Arabidopsis thaliana: one gene and its partner. The protein of the gene in region 2 interacts with the protein of the main gene of each other region in a pairwise test. Each region holds a gene or a part of one and is shown on either strand. Other genes may lie near its edges.

What was found.
Region 1: the proteins of LBD25 (region 2) and AT3G01030 interact in a two-hybrid assay, tested with the Arabidopsis thaliana proteins (one large-scale study listed by BioGRID).

The regions. Positions count from the first base shown.
Region 1 is NC_003074.8:4,874-8,357, forward strand, and holds AT3G01030 (C2H2 and C2HC zinc fingers superfamily protein), read left to right. Parts: upstream 1-1,783; coding exon 1,784-2,899; downstream 2,900-3,484. Other genes in the region: ISU2 (ISCU-like 2), read left to right, coding at 266-554, 663-717, 873-1,020.
Region 2 is NC_003074.8:10,236,276-10,241,178, reverse strand, and holds LBD25 (LOB domain-containing protein 25), read right to left. Parts: upstream 2,666-4,903; 5' UTR 2,449-2,665; coding exon 2,365-2,448; intron 1,229-2,364; coding exon 833-1,228; 3' UTR 531-832; downstream 1-530.

The DNA of each region.
Region 1 (3,484 bases), about 10 Mb from region 2:
ATCAAATAATTTGTTCTGTTTCTTCTTGACGAGATATTTTCCTATACTTATTATGTTGGTTAGAACAAGAGACTAGGTTTGGTTATTATTGCTAACTACATTTTCATATATAAAGCTTTTAGTGATTCTGATTACTGATTATCGTGGAAAATAAAAGAGATGATTAATTTCCAATATTTGTTATAATTCTCACCGTTCACGTGTCCCCTCGACATCGCATATATAACAAAACTGCCCTTGATTCCGGCAAAGAGAAAGAGAGAATATGATGATGCTAAGGCAAACGTCGAGAAAGGCTTACCTAGGGTTACAGGCGTCTCCTCTAGGGTTAGGTCGTCGATTATACCACGAGAATGTAATCGACCACTTTGAAAACCCTAGAAACGTTGGCTCCTTCAACAGGAATGACCCTAACGTTGGCACGGGATTGGTAGGAGCTCCTGCCTGCGGAGACCTCATGAGCCTCCAGATTAAGGTCGATGATTCAGGTCAGATCATTGATACTCGATTCAAGACCTTTGGCTGTGGCTCCGCTATCGCCTCATCTTCCGTTGGTATGCCTTCGAATCAGGGTTTTCAATTTTGATCGATTCGTTAAGAGGCTCATGATCAGAGTCAGGTAGATGTAGACAGGTTATAATTTGTATATTTGTTTGGTTCAGCTTCTGAATGGATCAAGGGCAAAACCTTAGACGAAGTTATGACCATCAAGAACGCGTAAGTGCCTTTTAACCATCAAAATCATGTCTCTTAGATATATCGTCAGGATTGTTATCTCTAACTCTGTTCTAGTGCTTGGAATATCCCAAATCTAGTGATATGGTTAACATTTTGATGAATGAGTCATTGTTTTGGGATTCTTAAATTTGCAGGGAAATCGCTAAGCATCTTAGGTTGCCACCGGTAAAGCTACATTGCAGTATGCTTGCAGAGGACGCTATCAAGTCCGCGGTCAGAGACTACAAGGAGAAGCAAGCAAAGACTAATGCTGCTGCTGCAGAAGAAACCGTCAAGGCCTGATGATTCCACTTATACCGCATTGTGCTGCTGCTGATGATGAATTACACAAACTTACAAAGAGAGGTGTGTTTGGTTGTTTTAGTTTTTCTCTTCTTTTCAAATGTTTATTTAAGTGCTTTGAATAAAAATAGCTGAGCATGTGACCCAGATCCCAAGTTTTTTCTGCATTGTGATGATTCCTCTTCAATGTCTTATGGAATAATTTGTTGCTGTGATATTGATAATTTTGATCATTTGATGTTAGACATAGCTGTGAGATTATAATGACACAAGCTTCAGCCTGAACATTCACAAAATAAGATCAAGTCACCAAATAAGGGCCTTAACAAATGAAAAGCCCAAAGCCTTGCCACAGCAGTCACCATTTGTCACGTCGAACCTTCTAACTGAAACAAAAGTTCTCCTCCACTTCTTATAGGCAAAGCAATTTACGAAAGTGCCCCTTTCTTCTTCCGTAGCTGCTCTCACTTCTCTCAGTGCTTATTGATCTCTCTGTTTCCACTTTCTCTCTTGCTCGCTCTCACTCTCTACCTCTCTTCTCATTTTCCCAGAGAACTACGAAAAACCAAAAATTTCCTTTGTTTTCTTCTTAATCCGATTGATTCAGAGCATTACGTATCACTCTTGCTCAACAGTTATTGCTCAGTCTCCGGCGATTTCTTTTGCGTTTTCTCGAGAAAAGTAACGGAAGATCGATTCTTTCAACTATTTCTACCCTCATACTCTTCGCCAATCATCTCGTCTTCCAACAAGCTTCGTTTTAATGGAAGAACAACAAGAATTTGAGAAACCCATCTTCGAATTCCGTCCTAAGAAGCTCAGAACCTCTCGAGTTTCGAGAAATCTCATGAAGAAGACTGGCTTCAGAGAATCTATGAATCATTACGAAGAGCTCTCTTGCAACTACGGATTGAGGGAAAACCCGAAGAAAACCCAGAAATCTTTACTCGATCATCGATTCTGTACGAGGAGGAGGAGAAATAAAAAGATCCTGATTCGATGCAAAGAATGCGGGAAAGGGTTTCTTTACGAGAAATGTCTGTTTAATCATCTCCAAGTGACGCATTCTGAAGAATCTACAAGAAGAAGCCTGTTTTGTAGGTTTAGTATTGTGCAGAGGAGAAAAAGATCGAAGAGAGTTTCCAGGTACAAGAAGATTCTTCCTCGATTCTCTGTTTCTTCTTCTTCGTGTACTATGTTTCCTGTTTCTGTGGATGATGGAGGATTATTAGAAGTCGCTGAGTCTCTGATTCTCTTGTCCATGAGTGGTGGAAAGTTCGTGAATGGTTTGGAACATTTTGGTAAAGCTCTGGGTTCGACTCAGAGAAAATTTGAAGACGGGTTATTGAGAAATGAGCAGAGACTTGTTGGTGAAGCTCTGGATTCGAATCCAGAGGTGAATTTGAGAAAAGATGGAGACTTTGAATATGGGCTTTTGAGTAATGAGCAGAAGAAACTTGTGGGGATAAGCAGAGCATCTGTTGGAACATCGAAAGAGCTTTCGGGTTACTTGGCAAACAAGAAGGGCAGAGAAGATGATGAATTGGGTCAGCAGAAACAGGCTGGAGCAAGAATACTTAGAGAAGAAACTGATAACGAACAGAAACTTGTTCGTCAAGAAACTGCATTTGAAGATTCAGTATCAGGATTTGAGATGAATATAGAGCATCGGTGTGGGCTCTGTCACAAGGTTTTCTCGACTTATCAAACTCTTGGTGGTCATCAGACGTTCCATAGAATGAGAAACAAATCCAAAAGTCAAACCAAGAGATGCAGAGAAGAATCGATAGAAGCTGAAGCTGGGATTAATAATGGTTCAGTGACGTTGACAATAAGTGCAGAGTTTGCTGAAGGCTGTTTAGGTCAGTACATGCTTTAAGAGGTTACAAGAAGTGTCACCACACGAGAGCAAATGATGGAGAGACCTTTAGATTCCATGTGGATGTTTCTATGGTTACTAGTGGAATATTTGAGCAGGAGTACTGAAGAAGAAGATCCCCTCTAATGAATAATGAAGTTTTGGAATTTTTGTTGTTGTTGTTGTCTAATGGAGTTGTGACTTGTTGTATTTTCATACGTAGAGAGGTTTCGTCTTTGGTTTTCTCAAATGGTTTGGTATTCAAAGTTGTACAGCAACTTGTAGCTGTGTTATGGTTTTAGCATTAATCGTTCTTTCAAATCTTTTTCCCTTAAGTTTGTGCATTTTGAATGTGTTACTAATATTTTGAATTACAACAAAATCTTGAGGAGCCGAATACAATCATAAACAAATCAGATGATAAAAACTCGTAAATCGTTTCTAAATTGTATTCAACTATACAATATATTGGTAATGATATTGCAACTTTAAGTTGAGAGATCATACTGGAAAAAGTACAGTATCTTTTTTTTTTTTTTTTTTTTTGACCGTATCATATCGTGTCGGTTGGTCTTCGCATTAAAATTAAAACTTTTCAAAATTAGT
Region 2 (4,903 bases):
TTGTTATTTTCTTCTTTTGACAAGATTAGTTGATTTGTATGTAAATATATGTGGTTGTTAGTTCGCCCCAAATGACATAAAATTATAAAAGGACCGACTTTAAAAAGAGATTCCCTATGAAGACATGTGCCTAAATTAAAGCTACAAAATTTTGGTGTTTCTAAATTGATTAATTTATTTAAACTTTTTTCAAGTCGACAAATATATAAAATCACTCAATTAACTTAAAATATTAGCAACTTTGTGTTTCTGACCAGTGACTAGTGTGTGTAATCAAACAACCAATTATTAGCCTACATTCCTATGAGTCTATACAAAACCGTCGACATGAAATTTTATTCTTTTGAATATCATAATACAATAGTAATATTGCAATCACAATTCGTTGAATGCAACTTTATAAAATGCTAGAAAATCTGTCATTAATCAATGAAATATGTGTACATACATAATTTAGAACATAAATCTTTTAGCAGAAACTAAAAAACTTGTGAATAATGACCAATGGGCCACATGTAAATCAGTGGAGCTAGATCAAGTTAAAGAGAGTTATGGAGATATGAGCATGAGCAAGATCTAGTTATTCAACATCATCAAAAATATTCCTTGACCTCTCCCATGAAAAAAAAATTACAAGTTAAATTACACATACGCATAAGTATATACATGAAAATAAACATAAATATACATGCATGCATGTCCCCATATTTACACATATATACATACGACTAATAACACTTACCATCACATCAACCATCCTCTCTCTCTTTATACTTCTCCGCCGCTAATTTTCTCAAAGAGTGATGATGACTAATCAACTCTCGTTGACCAGTCAACCCCTCCGACCACCATAAGCCGACGTCGTTTCACCACCGAGACAACCAGCGTACCTCATGAGATCAGCATTTGTCTCCTCGAGTTCCCTTTGCAACCTCAAGACCTGTCTTTGGAGCACCGAGATCGCTCCAACGCAGCCATACACTGGATCTTTAAGTCGTGCTTCCGCCTCGTAAGCCAGCGAGTTGACCGCATCTTCCCGCTGATGGGGAGCCACTTCGTGGAGGATCTTGCTCACATTGCTTGCCCCGAATATCCGGTGGACGTTCGCAAACTTTGTAGGTTCCTCCGGCGGAAAATAGGGTGCGAATACGCAGTCTGACGTGCATTTACGCCGGAGGAATTTGCATGCTGCACACGGTGAGTTTGTGTAGTTCGACATATATATCCCCTGATTTTTCAGTTGCAAAAAAATGGCAAAAACGATTTAATCACATCATAGTATCTTATTAGTAATTCTCGAAACTACAGTATAAGATTGATATGAATTTTGATCCATATCGATCGATATTGTAATTCTCTGGAGTCTCTTCTTCTTCTATATACATCAATTATCAATATCTTATCAACAATATGTCTACGTACACTTTTTAAAAATTGATACAGTTTCAAATGTTTTATTTCCATTTTGAATTTGGTAACTAGCAAAGTAGCAATAAAATGGTATCATCATCAATACAATATAACTTACAAGACGTATGATGTTCTTAGTCTTTTAATCCTCAAAATTCATTATATTCTACGTAAAATGGTAACTAGAAATAATAGTCTCATCATCAATATAACTTAGAAGACGTATGATGCATGTTCCTATCTTATTATCCTTAAAATTCATTATTCATAGTGTTCTTTCTGCGTCAAAAAGATGTTATACCACCTAAATTTATATTTCAAATATATCTCAAACAAATATATACATCCTTGTCTAATGAATTAATTTTACATAATTATAAAATCTTGGGAAATTGAGAATAATCCATACTAAAAAGTTATTGGTGAATCTAACACACAAGACGATTATGGGAAATTATATAAACTTGTGTAACATTACACATTAAAATGTAAACGTCCATATGATATTCATAGTAATATGAAGAAAATGGGTGTCGGAAATTCGAATTACTCACACAGGTTTTACGTTTTAGAGCTAGTATTAGTTCTAAACAAACAAACAACATGTTCTCATCAAAGCACTCTCTGTCTCTCTGACTCTGAGTTCCCCACATGTACTACATATTAGTTTGAATCTTGAATTTATGACCGAGTTTTATTACCTGCTATATAGGATACTTTCACTGTATATTAGAAGTCCCGAATTCCTGATTTCACTTTCAATTGTAACTTCTTCTTTCTTTTGTAAAGAAAAAAGGTCGTCCAAATTATAACTTGGTAGTTCAAGACCAGTGATCAAATTTTCATGATCTAAACTCTCTAAATTTATATAATCAATCAACATATATAGAAAGTATATATATTATGCAAGTGTGAGTGAATTGGCTGTACAGAATGAAAAACTCTTGGTCTTACCTTTAAATGGATCGCAACAAGAAAAGGTCCTTCCTTGATAACTTCTTGAGAAGGTTTGATCTTCTTTGTTTCTCTCTTGGGCATTAATTATAAGAAAGGAGAATGAAAAATCTTCAAGTAGATTTTGCAATTATTGGGATATTTTTGTTGTTTTCAGAGAGGAAACCCTAGTTTGAGAGAAAGAGGAATCTCTCTAAGGGGAAAGTTAGAGAGATAAAGAGGAGACATGGGTTGGATATAGAGAGAGAGGGGCAAAAGGCATTTTTGGTGCGATGAGAAAGAGAAAGAAGATGAATATAATGAGATTACAAAAAGACAAATTGGCCTCAATTAATTGAGGACCTAAAATAGTGAACTTAAGAAAGAATAACTCTGACCGTGGCAAATTTTACTCCATTCAATTGCTTTTAGTAAATAACTAAATATACAACATATTTTCTATCTTATTTTTAATTTTGACAGCATAACGTATTTTCTATTAAATTTTAAAAAACTAATTTATAATTTTTGTCAACTAATTTATTAAAAAGAAAAAAATTAAACGAGCCATTAGTATATAATATTGTTTATATATGTGATATGATACGGTTCAGTAAGTATGTAAAATATAAAAGCGATAATTTGTCATGAAAAAATACTCTTTTATTATGTAACTTAAGAATATATGAGATAATTTAACAATGAAAGAAAATCAAATGATAGTAAACCAATACTTTCATGTATTTAAATTAAGGTACAGCCATATACCCTCAGGAGTCCGAACCATTTTATAAAGAAACTAATGATAAACCTTAATTAGTAAGCTATTAGTATTATTTATTTAAAACTAATGATAAACCTTAATTAGTAAGCTATTAGTATTATTTATTTACCTTTGACCTTTCCACGTTTTATTATTCCGTAAAAAAAAAATGTTTGTGAAGTCTTTGGACCACTTAAATATATTGTTTAAACTAAATTTCAGAAAGTTTTGGGATACAAACTTACAAGAACATCAGAACTATTGAGGATCTGAGCAAATCCGACATGTGTACTGTCATTTTGCTTGATTGAATTTAACTGTTAACGTCTTGATTTTACTGTTTACATTTCTGAAAAATAGTTATTAACTTTTACGTTCTTTTAATTAGTTGATGTGTTCATTCAAAAAATTTGACATACCCTGATGGTTGAGCCACATGCTTGAATCCAAAAAAAAAAAAAAGTTTCTATAGTGCATAACAAAGAAAAGAAAAAACTGTAATCAATTTCTATTTAAAATTATACCGTCATTTTCAACGAATATAGATACCATTCACAAAAAAGGTTGTTGTTTGTTGGATAACTCTTGTGGTTGTATTATAGATCTTATATTTCCTATAATTAAAATATTTAGCGACTTAGCATAGTATTGGTCAGCTACAACTTTAATCATCCAACGAAATTAAGACCTAAAAGATATACCAAACAAAGTAGTTGATATATAATTATATATCCTTTCTAATCCAAGTGCACTTACAAAATTAAAATGATATATATAAGTGATGATGATACCAAGGCATTATTGTTTCCATAAACATATATATGCTTCATATTCCATATAAGTGCAATATTTGGTAGCAAGTGCGTATATAGATTATACCAATGATTAGATAAGATAATCAATCATTGGCAAGCATTATTTTACGTATTTCTTGTAACGATACTTTACGTATTTCCTGATTAGATTTCAGTGTATACAGATATGCTTCATATAGTATGTGTACAAAGAAAGTATAAAAATAATAGAAAATTGAAAGAAAAAGTGAAGAAAATATGAAAAGAGAAGGACCAATTCAGATCGGAAAAGAAGAAGCACTTGAATACGCATGCATACAAATATCCCTATACGGCTATACATAAATATATAAGATCAGGCCTGGCGAATGAAAATGTATGTCTCTTATCGTGTATATAAAATAAGCTAATGTGGGTCGACCAAAAAAAGCCAAGACGTCCAAGAAACGAAGAAGCCAAGATAGTGTGTGTGCTAATTAATTATGTATCCATTTTAGAAGAATTCATGTATATGCATAATGCATCATGTATGTATCATGCATGCACCTAGAAGTCCTATAACTAGAAGTCGGTATACTTTAATTATCAATTGGACAATTGGGATAACAAAACCTGGTAAGTTCTCTATATACATATATAAACTTTATAAATAAATAAATAAATGGTTTAAATGTAAGTATAGCGTATACGAATAATGAAAATTAAAAGTGATGTTATACGTTAAATTTTTCGAACTAAAAATTTTCGATAATTATTTTGAAAGGAAATTTGACAATAGCTTAAATCCTAGAGAAAATTGCATGGTTGTTACAACAAAATTTATACAGGATATGATCGATTAACTAACGAATGAATCCTATTAATTGCGATTACTTTTGAGATTAATTTATACCTAGCTTGATCTCAAGTTTGTATCAACCCATAAAACCAAATGTACTTTTGTGATTTAGTTATCATAGGTTGGGGTTTTGTGGATTGGTTGTTGACGAAATGTATAATACAG